Linked DNA regions of Drosophila melanogaster. The protein of the gene in region 1 interacts with the protein of each later gene in a pairwise test. Each region holds a gene or a part of one and is shown on either strand. Other genes may lie near its edges. The genes, in order: CCT2 and BOD1.

Region 1 (5,941 bases):
TCATTTCGAAAAGTGGGGCCAAAAAAATCGCTCTAGAGCTGAACAATAAGCCTATAACCGATGGCAAGTCGTCCCGATTCCGTGGCTTGCTGTGGAAAATGAAGTTCCTGCCACGCTTCAAGTGGTACTATCTAACCGATCGCATGGACTACGAGCTGGCGGTTTGCAAAGTTCGCGTATGGTCGCAGGCCCGCAAGCGGGCCACCTTCTTGTACGATCCCGACCAGATGGAGTATTTCAAGAAGCAAGTGAAGAAGATGAAGAAGGTCAAGAAAGCGGAGATGGCTACCAGGAATGCGGAGATGGCTGCCAAGAAAGCGGAGATGGCTGCCAAGAAATTGAAGAAGTCTGCCTGAGTTCACGCTAGACCTTTGCTTCCAATGTCTACCTGACTGCAAATATACTTCAATTAAGTAAATCAAATCAAAATCTTTAAATAATTAGGCGCGCAAAATTATTTGAAATTAGGGCCCCTGCATATCGATAATTTCGCCGATTGTGTGTGCGTGTTAATGCTACTTCAGCTACTCAAGCTGAAGGAGGCCACTGTAACGCACAGGGATGGTTAAGATTTCTCGATTAAAATAGGGCTGAGTAAATCAAATGTTCTGTTACAAAGTGTTTTTAAAGCGATATGCTTTTCTAATGAAAGGGTACCAACACATCGATAGCTCTTCGATAAAAACGTCAACTGACATCGCCTGTCAACTGTCATACCTGATTGCGTACATTACAAAATATATTCGATCCAGCTAAAACGAAAGCTACAATGAAAAAAATAATTAATACATCAAAGCCAAAGCGCAAGTCCACTTCCATGAAAGTGGAGGAGACTAAGCTAGACGAGGCGCGCTGGGGTAAGCCGCAGACAAAGGAAGGTGAGTCTGCAAATGGGATAGCAAATCCCTCAAATGACGATAAAAAGGAGCTGGCCAATTTCAAAGCCACCTTCAATTCCTGGGCCCCCGAGAAGAAACGCGAGAAGATGCACAAGGTAGGCGTCATCTTAATATCCAACATACCCAAGGACATGGACGGGGACTGCCTGAAGGAAATCATGAACTTGCACAGCGTCGTCGGCAGAGTTTACGTGCAGCCGGAAACGCTGTCAAGTGAGTGGACCAAGTGGCATGCACAAATGACCCACTGATTACCCAGTATAAACTTTTATCTCAATTACTTTAGGTTTCAAGACAAAGAAGAACATGCGTAAGGGCTGGGTGGAGTTCATTTCGAAAAGTGGGGCCAAAAAAATCGCTCTAGAGCTGAACAATAAGCCTATAACCGATGGCAAGTCGTCCCGATTCCGTGGCTTGCTGTGGAAAATGAAGTTCCTGCCACGCTTCAAGTGGTACTATCTAACCGATCGCATGGACTACGAGCTGGCGGTTTGCAAAGTTCGCGTATGGTCGCAGGCCCGCAAGCGGGCCACCTTCTGGTACGATCCCGACCAGATGGAGTATTTCAAGAAGCAAGTGAAGAAGATGAAGAAGATGAAGAAGGTCAAGGAAGCGGAGATGGCTACCAGGAATGCGGAGATGGCTGCCAAGAAAGCGGAGATGGCTGCCAAGAAATTGAAGAAGTCTGCCTGAGTTCACGCTAGACCTTTGCTTCCAATGTCTACCTGACTGCAAATATACTTCAATAAAGTAAATCAAATCAAAATCTTTTAATATTTAGGCGCGCAAAATTATTTGAAATAAGCGCCCCTGCATTGCATATCGATAACTGCAAAACTTTCGAGTGCTGGTTTGTGTCAACACTATTTTTGGTATTTAAGTTCATGCAGGCGTTAGCACCTTTCCGTTGTCGGTATTTCTACCCGATAGCCGCGCGTTATCGATAACAGCCATCGACTGTCTCCATTTTCTTTGTCGCTTTGTTGCGCCCGTGTGGTATTTGAAAATTCTGTGATCACAAATCGACTAATTACGCAGAGAAAATGGTAAATTTAAAAGTAACAACTATATTATTCGAGTAGTTTACGGTGCGGGCTATTGGCGTTGCGTGAATTCGCCCACTTTTCATTGATAATTGTGGCCAATTCGGCGTTTTCATTTGCCGGGTGTGTGTGTGAACGAAGCGCAAGCCATTTTGACAGGCGGCTTGCACGTGAGCCATGGACTCCGATTTCGCCTGCCACTTCCAGAACCTTCTCCTGCTGTCCACGGGATCTGGGTGAATTGGAGCTATCACTAGATTGCTGGCCGGGATCGGCTCGGGCAGCTGGCTGAGAACCTTCGAGATGCATTCCACGCCGTTTTTGCTGCCGATGAATCACTCGGCGCCGCTCTCCCTCGTCCGCCACTTTTTGGGGTTAGGTCGAGGCGATATGGCTGCACAGAGCGAAAAACCATAACAATCTGACATAGAATACATATACATTTTGAATATTTTCGCATCACAAACGCATCTGGTTTGCAGTGACTGCGGATTTGGCCATGCCAACAGACAATCCTCGCCAGAAATTGCAACATATTGGGCAGCCGCCTGCCATTGTCAAGATAGCATTCTTGATCTGTCGATGAGAATATCATAATGGTGTTTTGCAATGTCATCTTGGCATCATATCACTTTTTCATTATGCTAAATTATTAAATGTTAAAAAAAAAATTTTATTTCGCAAAAAAAGCTATAATATAATTTCCTGCATGAATAGTAATTATGAATTAGCTTTACTTGCTTCTGATGATTAATCCTCCATAAGATCTACGCTAAAAAAAAGTCATGCCATTTTTGTAATTAAATTAAGTCTCAAGAAATGTGCCCTTCTTAGAAAATTTATACAATCAATCGAAATGATTCACACCAATTGATCGCGTTTTGTCTTGCAGGAGATGTCCTTGAATCCCGTGCGCGTGCTCAAGAATGAGGCGCAGGAGGAGAAGGCCGAGATGGCCCGTCTGTCCTCGTTCATTGGTGCCATCGCCATTGGTGATCTGGTAAAGAGCACGCTGGGTCCGAAGGGTATGGACAAGATCCTGGTGGCCACCGGACGCAACGCCGGTCATGTTGAGGTGACCAACGATGGTGCCACCATTCTGCGTGCCGTCGGTGTAGACAATCCGGCCGCCAAGATTCTGGTCGATATGTCGCGTGTGCAGGACGAGGAAGTGGGCGATGGCACCACCTCGGTCACCGTTCTGGCATCGGAACTGCTGCGCGAGGCGGAGAAACTAGTCGAACAGAAGCTGCACCCACAGATCATCGTCTCTGGCTGGCGTCAGGCCACCCAGGTGGCACTGGAGGCGCTCACCGCCGCCGCTCAGGACAACTCGTCCAGTGACGAGAAGTTCCGCAACGACCTGCTGAACATTGCCCGCACCACGCTCTCCTCGAAGATCCTGCACCAGCACAAAGACTTCTTCGCCAATCTGGCGGTGGATGCTGTGATGCGTCTGAAGGGCTCCGGCGAGCTCAAGTCCATACAGATCATCAAGAAATCGGGCGGCACACTGGGAGACTCGTTCCTGGACGAGGGCTTCCTGCTGGACAAGAAGCCCGGCGTGCACCAGCCACAGCGTGTAAGTAATGTTTCCAGTTCCATCGTGCTAAACATCGTCTACCTCTGCTGTCTATTAACGCGTCAAAATGACTGTGAGCTATGTGGATTTGACTTCATATCACAGCCATTTTGACGAGTTTGTTGGACAGCCAGCCTCATCAACGTGGAAATGTTGCGCGTGCAAGTGAGTCTTTCAAGACCAAGTAAAAGAATCTCATGATCTCATACATGGGTGCTCTTCTCCATCGCAGATTGAGAATGCCAGAATCCTGATTGCCAACACGCCCATGGACACCGATAAGATTAAGGTGTTCGGCAGCAGCATCAAGGTCGATTCGCTGGCCAAGATCGCCGACCTGGAGATGGCCGAGAAGGAGAAGATGAAGGAAAAGGTGGACAAGATCCTGAAGCACAAGTGCAACGTGTTCATCAACCGGCAATTGATCTACAACTATCCGGAGCAGCTGTTTGCCGATGCCCGTGTAATGTCCATCGAGCATGCCGATTTCGATGGCATCGAGCGTCTGGCGTATTGCACCGGCGGCGAGATTGTCTCCACCTTTGAGAATCCCTCGCTGGTGAAGCTTGGCGAATGCGATGTCATCGAACAGGTGATGATCGGCGAGGATACGCTGTTGCGTTTTAGCGGCGTTAAGCTGGGCGAGGCCTGCACCATCGTGATCCGCGGTGCTACCCAACAGATTCTGGACGAGGCTGATCGTTCCCTGCACGACGCCCTCTGCGTGCTGGCGGCCACCGTCAAGGAGTCGCGCATCATTTTCGGTGGCGGCTGCTCCGAGGCTCTAATGGCCACCGCCGTGCTGAAGAAGGCAGCCGAGACACCCGGCAAGGAGGCCATCGCTATCGAGGCCTTTGCCCGTAAGTCGCTGAAATCCACATCATATGCTGGAGATGGCTCCTAATGAAATGCTTTTATTATTCGTATTACAGGCGCTCTGCTGTCCCTGCCCACGGCCATTGCCGACAATGCTGGCTACGATTCAGCCCAACTGGTTTCGGAGCTGCGTGCCGGCCACGCCCAGGGCAAACAGACTCTGGGTCTGGACATGGAGCTGGGCAAGGTGGCCGATGTCCGTGAACTGGGCATCACCGAGTCGTTCGCCGTTAAGCGCCAAGTTCTGATGTCCGCCTCGGAGGCTGCCGAGATGATCTTGCGCGTGGACAACATCATCCGTTGCGCTCCACGCCGACGCGTTCCCGACAGGGGCTACTGCTAGGCGCTTAAGTATTCTTGTTCTAGGATCATATTTTTTTTAATTATGAACTCTCGTTTAACATCATCGCTAACCTTACACGTTCTGTTTACTACACTAATAATCCACACACAACACATTAGCAATTATATCACACGTCCCACTCTCAAAGTCGCACAATTTCTCGCTAAATTTGTCCCTGTCGTGTAATCCTTCTACTTAATTGTGAAACAAATTGATATGATGTTGCAAGCTGAGCTTTTGATTCGAGGATGAGTGCTGCGATCAAACCAAAACATTTCAAAAATGTCTAAAACTCCATCAAACCGACAACTAAACGAACTTGTAAATGAATACAATTGTTGTAAACATTTGATGTGCGCAAATTGAAGACCATTAAACAGAAAAAAAAAAGGAATAAATGATAAATCATATATTTATGCTTAACAAAACTAAACAAACTGCCTTCTTATTTGGACCACAATTATTTCCCGAATTTTTATGAGCTTTTTTTAAACATAACTTGGCTTAAAATGATCATAAAGCGAAAAGAGTAACATTTCTGAGCACTGGAGAACCAATGTTTTCGACCCACGCCACTTTTCAGCCGATTTGGGAAAATTAATTTTTTGGTCAAATTTCTCATTTTTTGTAAGGGGTAACATCATCAAAATTTACAAAAAATGGCCAAAAAATATAATTGCCATTTTTTAGCTCAGTTCGTTTGGAAATTTAATTACGAGCTCAACGAAGTATGACATTCCATATTCAGACAATTATTTTTAATTTTGTGGCAAAAAAACTGATTATTTGATGGCCGAAATTCGGAAAAACGGATTTTGCCAAAATGTTGATATTTTCAAACGGAATTTTCCTCATAACTTGGCTAAAAATGATCGTAAAAATGAAAGAATAACTGTTTTGAGCAGCTAGTTACCAATGCTAACGACCAATGTCACATTTTGAAGGATTTAGGAAAATTAATTTTTGTCCAAATTTTCGCATCTTTTGTAAATTCGCATCAAAATTTGCAAAAAATGGCCAAAAAATAGAATTTCCATTTTTGAACACAGTTTGATTGGAAATTTAATTACGAGCTCAACGAGGCATAACATTCCACATTTGGACCATTATTTCGAATGTTATGGCCAAAATACCCAAATAACATGCTGGAATTTTTCATGAAATTGAAAAACCACGCAGTTTGCTGCAAATAATGGCA
Region 2 (6,649 bases), on another chromosome or scaffold:
GAGGGTTACTTTCGCCTTCGGCACTCTTTTCATTTTGCGCTTTACGTGCTTGCGAACGATTGGCCGTATGCCCAGGTCCTCGGAGCCCGCCTCGAAACCGGTGCTGTTGGGCGAACTAGCGCCGTTTTTGATTAGCAGCTTCTCGATGGGGCTCATGTAGGTCTTGCTGAGCAGCTGATTAGCGCTATCATCTCCACCACCTCCTCCTCCTCCCCCGGGGGTCCTTGGTGACGCATTATCATGGGCCAGGGTCTCGCCAGCACTGCTGTTATTTAAAGCCGCCGCTTGGTTAACGCGTCGCCTCGTCGTGCGTATTGTGTCATCGGAATCGGAAAGCGGCGTGGGTGAGTTGGCATTGGCATAGCCAATATATTTGGGGCTCAGCGCCGACTGCAAGTTGATAAGATCTCGTTTCCCTAAAGCAGCACACACAGGCGCACACACAAAAGCAGATATATTAGCATATGGACGGCATACGGCGGGGTATATTGCGCCATTGTTACACTTACTGTTCACCATGGACACACGCTGTTGTTGCTGTTTTTGGACTGGCGTCTGCCGCTGACTCTCCAGCTCCGACTCCTCCGCCGCGGGCTGTGCGCCGTTCTGCACCGGGTTTTGGCCGGGCTTGTCCAGCAGTCGAACCGGAGTGCTGTTGTTGGTGTCCCTCGGAATTTCGACATCATCGCCTTCGGTGGCCACCGACTCGTCGTTGCCCGCAGCCACTTCGTCGGTGGCGGTCAGGGAATCGGACGCGGAGTTGCACAGCACATTGCCGTGGGCAGCGTCGCCCTCGATCTCGGAGTGCGCGTCCGTGCTCAGCTTCATTCTGCGGTCCAGTTTAATCGCGCTCTCGTCAATTAAACACTACCGTTAATTCGACAATTTCTAAGAACACAGAGGCTTCGCTTGCGCCAAAACTTCGACTGCAACCGTGGGCATCGCGGTAGCTATCGATCCATCGATACGATCGCTGAAAGATAGGCGTCACACATTCCTATCGATTATACTTAGCCAAGATTCGCACCGTAATGCACAGTGAGGCGAAGTGTTTTCTTTTACTTATAGTATAGTTATATAATTAATAATAATTTTTATAATAATTTTTGAACTAAATCATAAGCGCCGCGGGGTGTTCTTTTATTCGCTCTCAGGCACGTCATCCAATACAAATTTCTAACTACAGGTTTCTAAACCTTCTATATAAATTTTTTGAAAAGGTTCCTTAGCCACGACTGAGGTACTACACTGGCCAGGGGACTTCGTTACAGATTGTTTTTATAATAGTTATTCGGAGTTAACAGATACTGCCATGTATTGTTGTTTTCCAAAACTAAATATTTTAACTTTAACTCAATTCTTTCACCTTACCGAAAACAACGTGAATACCTGAATTTTACATTAATATGAACATTTAAGTTCTTAATGTATAGCTGATTAAATGCAACTTGGCTTTAAAGGTAAAAACTCGGTGGCACAAATATTTCTATACTTTATTATTCTTTCATTCATAACTCAAAAGTAAAAATGTATCTGTATCTGCAATTCGTCAAATTTGGCTAGTAAAACTGAGAAGTTGGCATAGCTACCGCTCACGCACGACGCCCGGATCCAATCAGGGCGAAACTCACGTGGGGCGGCCATCCCTAGCGTAAACATATGTACATACATGTAAACGCATGTAAAGACAAACTCGACGTTTATCCTGGATTTCCTCGGCACTCACGGGTGTTGCGGCAAGCAAAAGCACACGAATAACAAGGGCCAAGGAGCATGGACGACTTTATCAAGACACTGATTGCCGAGGTGAAGTCGCAGGGCGTCTTCGACGAATTCCGATTCAACTGCTGCCTGGCGGACGTGGACACGAAGCCCGCCTACCAGAATGTGCGCACCCAGGTGGAGACGGCGGTCAACGATTTTCTGGCCAAGCAGCAATGGACGCCCGAGACCAACAAGGTCCAGCTGCGAGAGAGGCTGCGCAAGCACCTTATGGAGTGAGTATGCTTCTGGCGGGGCTTGGGTAACCTGGGGTAATCACATCGACTGTTTCAGCTCCGATGTCCTGGACAAGGGAGTGGACCAAATCGTGGACCAGGTGGTCAATCCCAAGGTGGCTACCATATTCGAGCCAAAGATCGAGAGCATTGTCTACAAGTACCTGGGCATCACACCACCTGCGCGACCCACTATGCTGTCAGCTCCGCCTTTGCCGCCATTTGGTGCCCACTTGAACGGCAGCAGCCTGCTCAATGTGGAGACCACGGTTGGTCTGCTGCCCACGGACCTGGAGCAGATAAGTCCAGACTCCGATCGGGCTACCGTCAAGTCGGAGTCGAGGGATGACGAACTTCCGCCCGGTGTAGACGACGAGGACACTTCGCCATCCTACGAGCTAGTGAGCGAGCGGAAAACACTTGCCATCAAGGAGGAGCTGAACAACGTTTCGTTGAATAACTCGGATTCGGTGAACGGCGTCTCCCAGGCGTCGCAACTTTCGCAGGTTTCCAGTGACAGCCGCCTGACCATGGCGTCGTCCACGGAGTCCATGGTTGATAGCCACCAGCACACAGCAGCTCACAACAGTGGGGAGCCAGAGAACATTTGCGAGGAAGCGCAAATGCCAAAGTTCAGCGAAAACTCTTGGGATGCTAGTGCGGGAACAGGCCGAAGCGAAGGTCGACAGCTTCACTTCGACATCAAACAGGATGCCATTACCTTCGAAGGTGGGTTTGCCGGGCGCCACGATGGGTTATTTAACTTCTACGATTTCTTTTTCGTGCAGGTACTGAGCGAAAGAACTCGGTGTCGGAGACGACTAGCACAGGCCTCCAAATTCTTTCCATCGAGGATGAGATCATGTCGGAGGTGAAGGCAAACATAGACGACGCCAACAATGCCAGTATTGAGTCTATAGCACCGGAGCCTGTACAAGTGCCAGCACCGCCGAAAGTTAATCCGCCTCCTCCTCCGCGGCCAGCCTCGCCAAAAGTAGAGCCTCCTCCGCCGGCACCACCAGGAGTTGAGTCGCCGCCAGGGCCCCAACCACCAGCGTCACCTCGTTTTGATCCACCTCCACCACATACAATTGAGCCACCGCCACCACCAGCACCACCAACACTTGTGCCACCGCCACCACCAGCACCACCAACAATTAAGCCACCGCCACCCCCAGCACCACCTACAGTTGAGCCACCGCCACCACCACCACCAGCACCACCTACAGTTGAACCGCCGCCACCACCACCACCAGCACCAACTAAAGTTGAACCACCTCCTCCACCGGCACCAGCTGAAGTTGAACCACCTCCTCCACCGGCACCCACAGAACTTGAACCACCTCCTCCTCCAGCACCACCGAAAGTCGAGCTTCCTCCTCCGCCAGCCCCACCAAAAGCTGAGGCAGCTATAACGCCCCGAAGGGCGAAAGGTAGTAATGGATTCATCACAGAGCTGGCCGTGACACCCAAGGAGTCGGAAACTCGGGATAAACCACACAATGTAAACACGGATGTCAAAGAAGATGAGCAACCAGCAACAACTGAAGACAAGCAAGATAAACCCCTAGAGCTTGGATTGGATGCACCAAAAGACGCTGTTAGCACAGCGTCTGAGTCCACGGAGTCGCCAACATCCACGTCCTCGCAATCAAAAAGCCATTCGAAGTCTAGGGATAAGGAAAAGGAAAAGGATCGGCGACACCACAGGCACTCAGATGACAAACACCGGCGAAGGAGCACAGATCGGGACCGCGATCGTAGTCGCGACAAATCGCACAGCAAGCATTCCTCGAGTTCCAGCTCGAAGCACTCCTCATCGAACTCCTCCAGCTCGAAGCATAAGAGTAGTAGCTCCAAGAACGATAAGAGCTCCTCAAGTTCATCTAGCCGGAGTAATCGAGAGTCGTCGTCATCCAAGCGCTCGGGAACCACTTCTTCATCACGCCACGAATCTTCCTCACACAAAAAACACAAGTCCAGTTCATCATCCTCGCGATCGGAACGAGATAAAGGCAAGGAGAAGGATAAGGAAAGGGAAAAGGACAGCCAAAGTCGCAGCCACCACAGCAGTAGCAGTTCCTCGTCGTCGTCAAGGAGAAAAGATCACGACCGAGGCCGCGATCGTGATCGTAACAAATCAAACACTTCTGGCAGTGCAGAGAACAAGGCTATCCACGATGATCATAGCGAGAGCAAAGAAAAGTATAAGCAGCGTCGGGGTTCCGACTCAAACGACGAGGGGAAGCCTCCAAGTTCTGGTGGTCCGGCCAAGAACTCCCAGCCGGAGGATTCAGCAGCTACAATGAAATCAGATGCGCCCGTGGAGAATGCTAACGGCACGAATGGAAACTCCAACGGCAGCACCAATGGTGCTTGCGACAATGTCAGCGGTGTTGTCATCGTGAGCGACATCCTGCAGCAATCGACGAGCAGTTTTGTTGAACTGACCGCTGGATCCCAATCGCATGACAGAGCGGAGAGCAGTAAGCATGAACCCGAAGATATAGACGGAAAAGAGGCGGATAATCAGCCGGAAAAAACAGAATTGGAGGCAAGGCAAGACGAGTGTGCTTCGCAGAATGAAGTGCCAACTGTAGAACCTCAAACTTTAGCTGACTCCGTTCCCGATTTGCCAGCCAAGGAAAGCATGGATACATTGGAAGACGAAAAGGTAGAGACCAATGTCGAAGAGAATAAGTCAGAAGAGGAGAGCAAACCGGAAAATCCTCCCGAAGAGTGCGTCGACGAACCTGCTCAAGTCGGCGATGTGGAGGATCCACCGCAAGATGCTGACAAACCCGCCACACCAGTCCCAATCTCGAATGAGCAAAGCGACGAATTTAGTGCCGACTTTGTGACCCACTTCGAAGAAAACACAGACGAGTTTAGGACGCGTCTGCAGCTCATCAATCAACTGATAGAGGATCGAAAGAATTTGCTTAACAGGTTAAGTGAGGATGGAACACAGGAGGAGGCAGTGGATATACGTGCCTTGCGACGCAGCCTCTCCAAGCGAAGACGGAGCAGCATGCAGGAGCAGCATCGAGTGGAGCGGGAAACGACACCGCCGCAGCCTAGAAGTCCGAGCAGCAGCAGCACCGCCGGCAGTCCGGCAAAGAGACTGCGACAGGACGAGCCCAAGTCATCGCCAACACCATCTGACGCCAGCATAAACTCGAAGGAGAACGAGGCACTGGAGAAGCAGGAGCATGGTGCGTACTGTATCATTGCTAAGTTTCATTTGGTGTAGCATTTGTTCCTCGAATCTCTCTTTTGCTAACTCTCACAAAGGGTGGATCGATGCAATTGAATTGTCGTATGTCTTAACGTTTAGTGAAAATCAAGTAAAAATTGATAATAAAGTCTATAATTAACACAAATCGATCCACCCTGCGAATGTGATCTACATACATACATCTCTGTTCTCATGCTCATCCTCAATATTCTTCTTTACCGCCTCTATTTTCTCCCCCACACGCATCCGCATTGTTAACTAATATACATAATATGTAGCTGTATGAAGCCACCACTAGTAGTCCTAACCAAACCGCAATGGAGCTGGGTAAGCGGTTCCCGCGCGATTCTCTGTCCTTTGCCCGCCGATTGTTGATGCTTCGAGCGATTCCCGTGAATGCGTGTGACTAAAGTGCTTGTTTTTATCAGCAGACGCCCTGTCCGCCAGGCGACTCAGCAAGAAGCTCTGCCAGCAGCAGCGGTACACCAACGATGATCTCTACAAGCCCCGTCCAATCCTGTCGCAGCGCTCTCGTCGCCGGGGCCTGGACTCCATTCTCTAGCCAACGGATAACCTGTTATCGGAAACAATAAAAGGCAATTGTTGTTAATGCATTTGACATAAAACAAGTCTTCGTTTCTTTCATCCGTTTAATGGGCCATTTCGCTTGCCAATGGTTTTGCTTCCGCTTGTTTTTTTTTCGTTTGAATTCTTTAACAATAAAATTGTAATTTAGCGCTACACCTTACAGTTTAATAGTCGCCGGTGCAGCATATCCATATATATTATGCATATATATAAACAAAAATAACAGTGAACGTAATAATATGATGCATTATTGTATATTTTGGGCGATCCACTAGCCTTGATCCCCGGCACTCAACTGCGTCTGCTACTCAAGGATGTGGAACTCTAGCACTGAGACGAGGATAATGTGTGATGATAGATCGAAACAGTCGAGTGCGTGGAGCAAGGACAATGGACATAGCTAGGCTACGGCTCTCTACATGGGGCTGGTTAGTTATAGTACCGGGTGTAGATTATGGGGCATTGTAGGTCTGGGGGAGACGTAGTTCTCTGGGAGCTGTTTTCTGCTGTATCTGCTGTTCCTTATATTTTGTAACATCTCAGTTTGAAGATTTCGGCTGTAATTTGATTACAAATTATTGAATTTTTCCTTCTGCCGCGCGAGCGTGTGCTTTACATTTTTGCTCTTGATTACTTTACAACGATCAACATAAATATATGTATGTATATGCGTATATCATTTGAAAATTGTTTAAAAAAAATATATATATAATTGTTGTAAATCAAAGGTTGTAATACATAGGTAATAGTATTTTACAAGAAGGTTATCTCATTTCAAAGTAACATAGATACAGTATCATCATTAGCATATACTTTTAACAAGAAT

The links.
Region 2: the proteins of CCT2 (region 1) and BOD1 interact in a two-hybrid assay, tested with the Drosophila melanogaster proteins (one large-scale study listed by BioGRID).

Annotation. Positions count from the first base shown.
Region 1 is NC_004354.4:9,087,654-9,093,594, forward strand, and holds CCT2 (chaperonin containing TCP1 subunit 2), read left to right. Parts: upstream 1-1,859; 5' UTR 1,860-1,942; coding exon 1,943-1,945; intron 1,946-2,834; coding exon 2,835-3,524; intron 3,525-3,576; exon of another isoform or gene 3,577-3,646; intron 3,647-3,756; coding exon 3,757-4,384; intron 4,385-4,456; coding exon 4,457-4,743; 3' UTR 4,744-5,173; downstream 5,174-5,941. Other genes in the region: CG32706 (uncharacterized protein), read left to right, coding at 1-356; CG6999 (uncharacterized protein), read left to right, coding at 818-1,112, 1,186-1,592.
Region 2 is NT_033777.3:27,936,922-27,943,570, forward strand, and holds BOD1 (biorientation defective 1), read left to right. Parts: upstream 1-1,640; 5' UTR 1,641-1,773; coding exon 1,774-1,997; intron 1,998-2,055; coding exon 2,056-2,726; intron 2,727-2,785; coding exon 2,786-5,212; intron 5,213-5,513; coding exon of another isoform or gene 5,514-5,521; exon of another isoform or gene 5,522-5,663; coding exon 5,664-5,797; 3' UTR 5,798-5,857; downstream 5,858-6,649. Other genes in the region: NSD (nuclear receptor binding SET domain protein), read right to left, coding at 1-416, 510-828.